Linked DNA regions of Saccharomyces cerevisiae S288C. The gene in region 1 interacts genetically with each later gene. Each region holds a gene or a part of one and is shown on either strand. Other genes may lie near its edges.

Region 1 (4,135 bases):
AATCAATTGAATTTTTTTTTTTCATGATTACGTTTTGACATTTTTCCTTTTTTTTTCTCTTATTACGATTTACCTTTTTTATTTATTTTTTTCATTTTAGTATTTTATTCTTCGTTATTTATGTATAGAAATTTTCATTTTCATTTAGATTCAGATTTGGTTATCTTTTTTCATTATATATCTTTTGCACTAAGTTTCAACTTAAGTTCTATTTTTTATTTTTTTTTTCTGGGCCCTGGAGCAATAGATATGGGATGGCTTACTGCATCTCTTCAAAATTTCACAGTCATGCTCACCCTTAAGTTCTCAACCTTTTAGTTTTTTTTTTTTTTTTTTTTTATTTTGTATGGCATACTAACTATACAAATATTTATATGTACATTTATACAGTAACCTATTATTTACCGATATTCACCGGTATTTTACTTTAATAGATGCTGGTAATAACGAAAAAAATTGATAACTCCCACCGACAATTGAGAAAAAAAGCAAAAAAGGAAAAAAGGGAAGCACGAATTAATACATTCTGTGTATTTATCTTTTTTATCTTCAGTTTTCCTCCAATCTATGGGCGGCCATTAAGTATGTCTATTATTCTTGGCCCTTCAGTCTTCTTTGGATTTCAATGTCTTGTTGGATTAGAAGTCATCACCACTTTCAGCAATCAAAGCCATGATCATTCTGTACAAGTAGAAGAAGAACATCAATAAGTGGAAACCTAACTTTAGGAAACTCTCCCTTTTATGTTTGCCTAAAGTTCTGAATATTTCGGTAGCATCCAAAAGTTGAACTTTATTGTAGATCTTGTTTAGATTGTAAGCTAGAACTGGTAAGTTCAATAAAAATACAAACCAGTAACCGTTCAGTAAGAATAGTAATGACAAAGCACCATGCAAGGCGGCTTCAGGGGTAATTAACTTGTTAACTTTAGAACATAATTCAATTGGATTGATATAGTCAGCTTCTAAATCAGCGTATAGTATTGTGAAATGCACTTGGCCAAACAAATTGATACAGTTGACAACAACAGCAAGGATAAATAACCAAGCACCCATTTTTCTTTTTATTCTTAATTTTTTTACTTTACTTTAATTGCAGTTCAAAGGTAAATGTCTTTGTTAAGTAGGCAGTGAGACATAATAATATGAGAAAAATCCAGGTCTCTCCTTCGTATTAAGGAATACATGATCTAGCTATCACTCTTAAATCTTTCTCCTTCCTTGTTTTTTCTCCGAAATGAAGAAAAAAAATTTTCTTCACGGAACTAACGTGAAAAAAAACTTTCAAAAAAATACTCCGATACGGGGAGTCGAACCCCGGTCTCCACGGTGAAAGCGTGATGTGATAGCCGTTACACTATATCGGAAACAAATTAACTGAAAATGTTGTATCTCAAAATGAGATATGTCAGTATGACAATACGTCATCCTAAACGTTCATACAACACATATGAAACAACCTTATATCAAAACGAACAACATGAGATAAAACCCGGCCTTCCCTAGCTGAACTACCCAAAAGTATAAATGCCTGAACAATTAGTTTAGATCCGAGATTCCGCGCTTCCACCACTTAGTATGATTCATATTTTATATAATATATAAGATAAGTAACATTCCGTGAATTAATCTGATAAACTGTTTTGACAACTGGTTACTTACCATATATATTATTGAGAAATGGGTGGATTTTGAGATAAATGTGAGAAATGGGTGAATGTTGAGATTGTTGGAATAAAAATCCACTATCGTCTATCAACTAATAGTTATATTATCAATATATTATCATATACGGTGTTAAGATGATGACATAAGTTATGAGAAGCTGTCATCGATGTTAGAGGAAGCTGAAGTGCAAGGATTGATAATGTAATAGGATAATGAAACATATAAAACGGAATGAGGAATAATCGTGATATTAGTATGTAGAAATATAGATTCCATTTTGAGGATTCCTATATCCTCGAGGAGAACTTCTAGTATATTAGGTATACCTAATATTATAGCCTTTATCAACAATGGAATCCCAACAATTATCTCAAAATTCCCCCAATTCTCAACATCCGACTGCCATGCAATGTGCTTTTCTGGATCTCACTCATGATCATAATGGCCCTGTAAAAGGCTCGTACTGTTATTATCATATCTTCAATTACGTATTATTTCGGAGGCTGTACCTATTAGTGAAATAACGCCTCTAAAAATGAAAAGAAGAAAAAGAATATGAAAGGGGTTCTGAATTGCTAAAATATTTCGTCAAAGCTCAATTAGTATCAAGATCAAGTCGTAATTCGAATCAGCATAACAACCTCCAAAACCATATAATAACCTTACACAAGACAAGATATCAATTCAACATGCAAACCCCTTCAGAAAATACCAACGCCAAGTCGGATTCTCTCGACGAACCCGGTGCATATTTAATCGAGGAAAATGTGGCTCTTCCTAAGGACATATTCCATTCGTACTTGAGTTATTGGATATATGAAGCAGCTCACTGTACACCGGTCATGCTTTTGTCTCTAGTAATTGGGGTTTTAATCTCAATAATTATTCTTTTTCATGATAACGAAAATTGCGTTGGGGTTTCTGTAGGGTTTCTCCTCATATTCTCTGGCATTTTAGTGATAGTTCTAATACTCAGGTTTGGACCACAGATCAGTGATGAAGATTTCAAATGTAAGCTACTGATGGAAATTATCACACGGAAACCTACGGTAAAGGGGAAAGAATGGAGGACAATTACATACAAGATGAACCAGTATTTATTTGATAACGATTTATGGAACACTCCCTACTACTTTTACCGTGATGAAGATTGCCACCGTTATTTTCTAAGTCTTATTAAGGGAAGAACTTTCAAGAAGCAAAAGGAATCGTCAGCCAGCAATGTTAAAGACGCACAATCAAATGACGAAACCGCTGGCACACCAAACGAAGCCGCTGAGTCTTCTAGTTTTAGTGCCGGACCGAACTTTATAAAGCTCCTCACCAAGGCAGCCGAAATCGAACAACAATTTCAAAAGGAATATTGGCGACAAGAGTATCCTGGTGTCGATGAGTTTTTTTAGACAGAAGACGGGAGACACTAGCACACAACTTGACAAAGGATCTACTTCTCGATTGACGACACTAGTAGGTGTCAAATTTAGTGTCATTTATGATTTTTTGTAATAGGATATAAATATATACGGCGCTCCAAATAATGCAGTTGCCCCAAAAACACCACGGAACCTCATCTGTTCTCGTACTTTGTTGTGACAAAGTAGCTCACTGCCTTATTACCACATTTTCATTATACATCACTTCGCAAAATGCAATATTGAAAATGCCTCTAGAGATGAAAAACAATCGTGAAAAGGGTCCTGCGTTATTAAAACATTTGATCAGTATGCAATGGCACAGAGACAATCAGGAATACTATAGTCATAGACGATACAAGGTATATATTGGTCATGCAGACCCCTCTAGAAAGTACCGACGTCAAGTTAGATACACTCAACGAACCTAGTGCACATTTAATTGAGAAAAATGTGGCTCTTCCTAAGGACATATTCCGTTCGTACTTGAGTTATTGGATCTATGAAATCGCTCGCTATACACCAGTCATGATTTTGTCCCTGGTAATAGGGGTTTTGGTTTTATTAATTATATTTTTTAATGACAACGAAGCTTGTGTTTTCAATTCTGCATACTACGCTTATCTTTCTCTTGTAGTATTGTTAATAATATTAGGTGATGGTAATCCAAAGCTAGTCAGTCGTCGAAATTTTAGGACCGAGCTTTTAGTGGATGTCATCACACGTAAACCGGCAGTAGAAGGGAAAGAATGGAGGATCATCACATACAACATGAACCAATATTTGTTTAATCATGGGCAATGGCATACTCCGTATTACTTTTACAGCGATGAGGATTGCTACCGTTATTTTCTACGCCTTGTTGAGGGAGTAACCCCCAAGAAGCAAACAGCCACGTCAATTGGCAATTCTCCGGTCACCGCTAAGCCTGAAGATGCCATCGAGTCAGCTTCTCCTAGTTCCAGACTGAATTATCGAAACTTTTTGCTCAAGGCAGCGGAGATCGAACGACAAGCTCAGGAAAATTACTGGCGAAGGCGGCATCCCAATATCGAT
Region 2 (4,337 bases), on another chromosome or scaffold:
AATGGCAGCTCAGGCGGTATTAGATCCTAGAGTACATTACTTCATAACCAGATTGGCTCCTGCACCTCACGATATCAAGTGGGATCATGTTTGTCTTTCTAGAAAGGACCGGTTAACAAAAGTTTATTCTACTACCGTATTTATAGGCCTTTCAAGTTTGTTTTTAGTCATTCCTGTATCATACTTAGCCACATTGCTAAATTTGAAAACACTTTCGAAATTCTGGCCAAGCGTAGGGCAGCTACTAAAAGATCACCAGTGGGCCGCTAACATTGTAACGGGGCTATTACCAACCTATCTCTTCACATTGCTTAACTTTGGAATCCCCTATTTTTACGAGTATTTGACTTCTTATCAAGGATTGGTATCATACAGCGAAGAGGAAATCTCACTTGTTTCAAAAAATTTCTTTTATATTTTTGTCAACCTTTTCTTAGTTTTCACATTGGCAGGTACAGCATCTAATTACTGGGCGTACCTCAGCGATACCACCAAAATTGCTTATCAACTTGCTACATCTGTGAAGGAGTTCTCCTTATTCTATGTCGATTTGATTATATTGCAAGGTATTGGTATGTTCCCGTTTAAGTTGTTATTAGTTGGTAGTTTGATCGGCTTTCCTCTAGTGAAAATCAAGGCTAAGACACCTAGGCAACGGAATGAACTTTACAATCCACCGATATTTAACTTTGGACTACAATTACCACAGCCAATTCTGATTTTGATTATAACGTTGATCTACAGTGTAATGAGCACGAAAATTTTGACTTCAGGGCTGGCGTACTTTATTATTGGGTTTTACGTCTATAAATATCAATTGATTTTTGCCACAGATCATTTGCCCCATTCTACAGGAAAAGTATGGCCATTAATTTTTAGAAGAATCATCGTTGGATTGCTATTGTTTCAATTAACAATGACAGGAACACTGGCAGGATTCGAAGGAGGATGGGTTTTGTCATCTTGCCTTTTCCCGCTTCCAGTAGTGACATTATGTTTCCTATATGATTTCGAGAAGAACTATTTGCCGTTGTCAAAATATATCGCATTGAGTTCAATTCGCGAGTACGAAAGAGACAATTCTACGGTGAATTCTGCCAATGAGGAAGAGTCGTATGCATACCCTTACGCTGTGAGTGAATTAGAGGGTCCGATGTTGGATTGAAATCCCAAGGTGCTATTTCTATATTTATATATTTTGTTGTGAAAATGCCAAAATAAGATTTTTGATACAAGTAATACTGGATATTTTTTTATTTGCTTATAACAATAAATAAGTTCCTGACTTCTGTAGTAGTAGTATAAACTCCTGATGTATTAAATTCTTAATAACTGAAAAGTTAAACTTTGCCACGAAAACTATAAGTATTGGCTTAACCATGAAATATCGTAATAAAGACACACTTATAAAAATCTTTATGATATTCCAATAGGAAAGATTAGTTACAATCTTCAACGATTCAATAATATAGAGATTAGCTACCCACTTAATGATACTCATCGAAATTAGAGTATCATAAGGCCATATCAACATCAATATCGGAAAAATTTTGGCACCGTACGATAATAAGATCGTATATGATATGACATCCTTTGAAGAAACGGAATAGTGCTTCCAATGCAACTTTTTCAGTATGAAATACTGGGTAAAGGTGTGGAATAAAGAAACGTCAAGAATACAATAACTTGCAAAGTAAAGATATTGTATTGGTGGGCTCCAGGTAAACACTTTACTTGTAATGGTATTGCGCATGATTGCCGAGTCCCATTTGAAGCTCTCTGGTAATTTTTTTGAAAGCATGATGAGCTTACCATCATTATTGTTACGGTTCAAATAGTAGATGTATTTACTCTCCTCAGTAACCCAAGTTAAATAAATCTCGAATGATAATAGTAGAAGCCAAAGGCGATTTAACCGGTCATATTTACAAAACCAGTTCTTTACGTTAAATAACAAAGCTTGCGTATAGTCACGCAAACACTGGCAATCATTTAGCGCTTTTCTTTTCGGATATTTTGAGAGATGCAATTCCAAAGCATTGAATACCAAGTGTCTATATGCACCTGCTTTTAATAGAAGCAAATCAATGAATAACAGGACATTATCTATCTCAACATATTTGTCTACTGTCTCTTGGCAATATGGACAATCTGTCAGCTGAATGTGGTCATTCGAGTACACTGTATAAAGGGAATCTACGGGCCGCATGCACGTTATGCAAATCATCGTTTATCACAGCTAATATCTACTTTTTGATGCGCTTCATCCGTTCACTGACGCACCAAACCTTCCTTCTATGCAATGACAAGAATTTCTCAGCTTGATTTATGCCATTGATGTTTCTGAATCATCAATTGTTCACATAGGGCTATTCAATTTGGCCCGCTGTCCCTAAACTGAAAAAATACTAAGAAAAATTTTGCAAAAAATCTAAAATGATGAGGTGAAAGATCAAAAAAGAAAGATCAATAATTAAGAGGTTGGCAAGTCATCCTGATCGTGAAAAAAACTTAACAAGTACAAATAGAGTAATCAGCATTGGAAAATGTCTCGCGTTGGTGTCATGGTATTAGGACCTGCAGGTGCGGGGAAAAGCACATTTTGTAATTCCATTATATCACATATGCAAACTGTAGGACGAAGAGCTCATATTGTAAATTTAGACCCTGCCGCAGAAGCTACCAAGTATGAATTTACTATTGACATTAGAGATTTAATTTCCTTAGATGATGTCATGGAAGAAATGGATTTGGGCCCCAATGGTGCGCTAATATATTGCTTCGAATATCTTTTGAAAAATCTAGACTGGCTTGACGAAGAGATCGGGGATTTCAACGATGAATATTTAATCTTTGACTGTCCCGGTCAAATTGAACTCTACACGCATATCCCTGTCTTACCGAACATAGTGCGCCATTTAACTCAACAACTGAATTTCAACCTTTGCGCCACATATCTTTTGGAAGCGCCATTTGTGATAGATAGCTCAAAATTTTTTAGCGGTGCACTATCTGCTATGTCTGCGATGATTCTATTGGAACTACCCCATATCAATGTGTTGAGCAAACTAGACTTGATAAAAGGCGACATCAATAAGAAAAAACTGAAAAGATTTTTGAATCCCGATGCAATGTTATTAATGGAAACGGAAGGAATGAATCAAGCATCCAACCCTAAATTTCTAAGACTGAACCAGTGCATAGCCAACCTCGTCGATGATTTCGGTATGGTTCAATTTTTACCTTTGGAATCTAATAATCCTGACAGTATAGAAACCATATTATCGTATGTCGATGATATAACACAATGGGCAGAAGGACAAGAACAGAAAGAGCCTAACGACCAAATAGATGTCGAAGAATAGTTATAGAGAAAATTATGTACGCTTGATTCATATAAAAAGAGGTAAAAAAAAAAAATAGCTTCTCATAATAACCAATTCGGACTCGGGAAAGTACAAGTTCAAGTTTTTTATTGGTTTCTATATGTATAAGATAAAAATACCTAGATCTATTTAATTCTCTGTCTTGGGCCACCTGGTGATTTCTTATTCCTGGCTGTTAGGATTTCAACACCATGTTCGGTAACCAACAGTGTATGTTCAAATTGAGCACTCAGTTTACCGTCTTGGGTGGTAGAAGTCCAGTCATCAGGCCAGGTCATATCCTTCCAAGTACCTTCATTAATCATAGGTTCGATGGTGAAAACCATACCTGGTTTCATAACACCAGGTGTTCTATTCTTGGCGTAGTGGGGAATATTTGGGGAACAATGGAAAAATTCACCAACACCATGTCCACAATAAGTTCTTACTACACTGCACTTATTTTCGGTAGCGTGTTTTTCAATATGATCACCTAACTCTTGGAAGGTGGTACCTGGCTTACACATTTTAATGGCTAGTTTCAAACATTCTCTTGAGGTCTCAGTAGTATTAAGAGCTTCCTTAGAAATGTTTTCGCCGACATAATATGTCTCATTCAAGTCTGCATGATAACCTTGGTAGTATAAGGAAACATCTAAATTGACAATATCACCTTCCTTCAAGACAGTTTTATCGGGCACACCGTGACAAATAACTTCATTGACAGAGGTACAAAGCGATTTAGGAAAGTTGTAATAATTAAGAGGGGAAGGGTAGGCACCTCTCTTAATTGTTTCATTGTGGACGATTTCATCTAATTCATCTGTAGTGATGCCTGGTCTGACATGGGCAGCGGCAATATCAAGAACTTCTCTACCCAACATACATGCCTTTCTAATCTTCTTAATTTGATCTTTCTTGTATATAGGGATGTTGTTAAGTCTATCATTTCTTTGTTCACTGACTGGTAGC
Region 3 (4,176 bases), on another chromosome or scaffold:
CTTGCATGCAAGTCCACCAGGATGTTCCTTAACAGCTCACCCAAGTACATGCCGGAAATTCTTTTTTCAAATAGATGGTAACCTGGATTTGGAGAAAATTTTTGGTCAATATCGATGTCATACTTTGTAGCAGACAAATGTTTCAATTCATTGTCGAAAGAACCCCATTCGATGTTGATGCACATTTGGGTTTTTCCTTCATGCAGCAGTCTTGTTCTGAGCTCATCTGGTAGCTTCTTGATGTTTTCAATATCCTCCATATAGCAACCGTTAGTACCAGTACCAAAGATACAACCAATGACAGGCTCGCTAATCTCACCAGCACTCGATGGACGAGAGCCTGAAGTGTAGCAGTGGGATAGGAAAGTGCCAACCGTGTCGTTGGTCAAAGCTACCACATTAATCATAGAGAGCCCCTGAATGTCTAATTGCTCCTGGTATAACCTCACGACATCCTTGCCGACCGTGTCTTCAATCTTGAAGCTTTTGGTCCATCTGATTAAAGTACCGGAACTCAAAGAGGTTTGGTCAACGGGATATGAGAAGGTAAATCCCATTTTCAAAGGTTTTATGTTCTCCCCCGTGGACTTCAACAACTCAGGATGATGCTTCCTAACGAAGGCCCTTGTACGGCGACCCAGGTAGCTAAACAGCTCCTCGCTGGTGACATCCTTGTCATTTAGATATTCTTCCGGAATCTTAGACTTCAATTGCTGCATATCAAAGGTTCCGTCACCATTCAAAGTCACAGAACACACTCTGAAGTGAGTCCCACCTAAATCTGCAGCCAGCAAAACACCACGTTCCGTCCCATTGGGCAAACTGGTTACATATGTAGGGATCATGGGTAGACCCTTGTCCACCGTCTTTTCTTCGCCTACAGAGGTGTTATTCAACCCCTTTTCCATACATTCAATGAAGTACGCTGTTAGTTCGTCCAACTTTGCTGCATCAACCTGCAATGAGGAGCAGATCTCAACCACTGCATCTTCCAATGCCTCAGCATTGACTTTATGTAAATTTTCAAATGACATTACTGTGTATCTATGATTCGATTCTTGTACAATTCTTCCTTGATACACTGATATCTGTTTCTATTTAAACTTCCTATAAGTATGAGACGTACAAAAGAACACGAGACAAGATGAGATTTTACACTTACACAGAATCGACTTTATATAATCCCGAATACATGTTTCCCCCCCCTGCATCGCAAGCATAATAGAATTCGACGACCCGATCTTCTTCCTCTGTCTTCCACACACACAAACACTAATTCACTCTCACTCTCTCACTTTCCCTTTCGACGACACACACAAAAAGACTTTCTGGATGCCCCGCGTTTTTTGTCACTTGATTCTTCGAACAAAGACGCAGGCAACTACCCCTGAAGGGCCCACCCGAAAGTAGTTGCTACTGCTCGTTGCGGTGGCTGCCAGAGTGGCGACGTAGCGTTGCGTTGTGGCTAACATTGGTGAGACAACCCGATTAAATTACTTAATGGGCTCTCCCACCGCCTTTGCACCCAGTGACAGCCATTTTGAAGATAGCATCGGGCTGGCTTCCAAATAAAATCTAGGTCGTTTCTATTAAGTTCGTTTCGTTATTTTTCTGTCTTCGCGGCGGACACGCAAGCCGACGACGACGAGGTTTAGTTGCATTTTGGCTATCATAAAAGAAATGGGCTTGTCGCAACGGGATCAGGACCAAGAACAGGGGTGCTGAGACTACTACTGTAACTGCGACCGACACAGCGTGCGAAACTAGGGAAGTAAAAAGGTATAGGAAGAAGAACTATGTTTAGAATAGCTAAAAACCTCGTACGGACTTTTGAGCAGAGCGTGCAAGATACCCTGGCACTCTCGCAGGACTCGAGCAATCTGGACGCTTTCTTTCAGTCTATACCACCAAATTTGTTGTCTGCTCAGTTGGAATCACCCGTAGATGCGGTTTCTGAAGGTGTTAAGCACACCAACGTCAATGAAACGCTTTCCGGTCTCCGCATTGTTTGGGTGGACGAGATGCAGTTCCAACTGCAGTCCTTTTTCGACTATATAGTAGGTTTCAATGATGATCCGGTGCCGGTGGTCAGTAATCAACACGGATTTTCGTACCCAGATTACCGTCGTATCACATCCATCTTCAATGAACACTGTGGCCGAACTTTGAAGGTCAACATATGGTCAGCTAAAGGAGGCACGTTCAGAGACGAGTATATCAGCATTATATCGAAGGAGAGCGACGATTTGGACGATGTTTCTCTAAACCATGACGAGAGGAGGCCATCTAGTGGGGAAGCGCACCAGTTCCAAGCACTCGGGTTCAAAGTCCAATGGACGCCTTTGATAGCTTCCACTTTCACATACCATATCCTGAACGTGAACATCCCAGATGGACCCGCCCAATCGGCAGGGCTCATCCCAGATGAAGACTACATTATCGGCTGCCAAGATGGCCTGTTGGCCACGGGAGGGGAGACGCTTTTACAAGATATTGTTAGATCAAGAGCAAACTACGATCTGGTCCTTTATGTCTACAACAAAGTTTCTGACTGTGTGAGACCAATCACAGTTCATATAGGTCCCGACGGCAGGTTGGGTTGCAACGTTGGATACGGGTTTCTTCACAGGATTCCAACAGTAAAGCACTGTCCACAACAAGCACAGCAGCAGGGGCAAGATGACAACCCTGTTCCTGTTCCTGTTCCAGTAGAATCTGAGACGGCTTTTGTGCCATCAGCATTCACAGCACCACCGGTGCCAACAAAGAAGAAATCAAAAAATAAAAAGGGTACCCAGCCATTGGCAATGGATGACTATTTTAATGAAGGCAGAGATAAGTCATCTACCGCTGCGAAGTCAGCAGAATCTGACATCCTCGCCCCACCACCACAAAAACAGTCATCCTCTGATTAACTTTCCTGGTTAGTCTTTTGGTTTTGTTTCATAGCAAAATTAAATATATATATATAAGCTTGCTTTCCCTTCAAAACACGTAAACGATAGTTGGCAATGTACGAAAAGTACCGAGACTTTTTTTCAAAGGCACGCGTGTCCTTTTTTGTTAAGACAATAGATATTTTAGCATTCAGAAAGTTTCAATTTCCAAGACTTGACGTTTCAATTATATGGCAATCTCCCAACAAGCACCCGCTCATATAATACCATGCAAGTGACCACAAGATTTATATCTGCGATAGTCTCGTTTTGCCTGTTTGCTTCTTTCACGTTGGCTGAAAACAGCGCAAGAGCTACGCCGGGATCAGATTTACTCGTTCTAACAGAGAAGAAATTTAAATCATTCATCGAATCTCATCCGTTAGTCCTCGTCGAGTTTTTTGCTCCATGGTGTTTGCATTCTCAGATCTTACGCCCTCACTTAGAAGAGGCCGCCTCTATTTTAAAGGAGCATAACGTCCCAGTTGTTCAAATTGATTGTGAGGCTAACAGTATGGTTTGCCTGCAACAAACTATAAATACCTACCCAACCTTGAAAATCTTTAAAAATGGTCGTATTTTTGATGGTCAAGTCTATCGCGGTGTCAAGATCACCGATGAAATCACTCAGTACATGATTCAGCTATACGAGGCTTCTGTCATTTATTTAAATTCCGAAGATGAAATCCAACCATACTTGGAAAATGCAACTTTACCAGTAGTAATAAACAGAGGCTTGACAGGCTTGAATGAAACGTATCAAGAAGTCGCACTGGACCTTGCTGAGGATTACGTCTTTTTATCCCTTCTAGATTCAGAAGATAAGTCATTATCAATCCACTTGCCAAACACTACAGAACCAATTCTGTTTGATGGAAATGTAGACTCTTTGGTCGGAAATTCCGTTGCTCTAACTCAGTGGTTAAAAGTGGTAATTTTACCTTACTTTACCGACATCGAACCTGATCTCTTCCCCAAGTACATTTCTAGCAATTTGCCGTTGGCTTACTTCTTTTATACTTCTGAGGAAGAATTGGAAGATTACACTGATCTTTTCACGCAGTTAGGTAAGGAAAATCGTGGCCAAATAAATTTCATTGCATTAAACTCTACAATGTTCCCACACCACGTTAGATTCCTAAATATGAGAGAACAGTTCCCATTATTTGCTATCCATAATATGATCAATAATCTGAAATATGGTTTACCACAACTACCAGAAGAAGAGTACGCGAAATTA

The links.
Region 2: mutations in ERV14 (region 1) and ARV1 together harm fitness more than expected from each alone (negative genetic interaction), as found in Saccharomyces cerevisiae (5 studies listed by BioGRID).
Region 3: mutations in ERV14 (region 1) and GRH1 together harm fitness more than expected from each alone (negative genetic interaction), as found in Saccharomyces cerevisiae (4 studies listed by BioGRID).

Annotation. Positions count from the first base shown.
Region 1 is NC_001139.9:400,233-404,367, forward strand, and holds ERV14 (cornichon family protein), read right to left. Parts: upstream 1,056-4,135; coding exon 639-1,055; downstream 1-638. Other genes in the region: pheromone-regulated DUP240 family protein PRM8, read left to right, coding at 2,357-3,070; DUP240 family protein MST27, read left to right, coding at 3,455-4,135. UniProt on the Saccharomyces cerevisiae protein: Could regulate export of the bud site and axial growth sites selection protein AXL2 and possibly other secretory proteins from the endoplasmic reticulum in COPII-coated vesicles. Seems to be required for axial budding pattern in haploid cells.
Region 2 is NC_001144.5:621,657-625,993, forward strand, and holds ARV1 (sterol homeostasis protein ARV1), read right to left. Parts: upstream 2,228-4,337; coding exon 1,262-2,227; downstream 1-1,261. Other genes in the region: CSC1 (Csc1p), read left to right, coding at 1-1,165; putative signal sequence-binding GTPase GPN3, read left to right, coding at 2,547-3,365; methionine aminopeptidase MAP1, read right to left, coding at 3,512-4,337. UniProt on the Saccharomyces cerevisiae protein: Mediator of sterol homeostasis involved in sterol uptake, trafficking and distribution into membranes. Also regulates the sphingolipid metabolism. Required for growth during anaerobiosis and sterol uptake.
Region 3 is NC_001136.10:1,475,443-1,479,618, forward strand, and holds GRH1 (Grh1p), read left to right. Parts: upstream 1-1,796; coding exon 1,797-2,915; downstream 2,916-4,176. Other genes in the region: EMI2 (putative glucokinase), read right to left, coding at 1-1,034; protein disulfide isomerase EUG1, read left to right, coding at 3,166-4,176. UniProt on the Saccharomyces cerevisiae protein: Involved in the spindle assembly checkpoint. Involved in ER to Golgi vesicle-mediated transport by either facilitating USO1-dependent and -independent tethering or increasing target accuracy of fusion events of COPII-coated vesicles.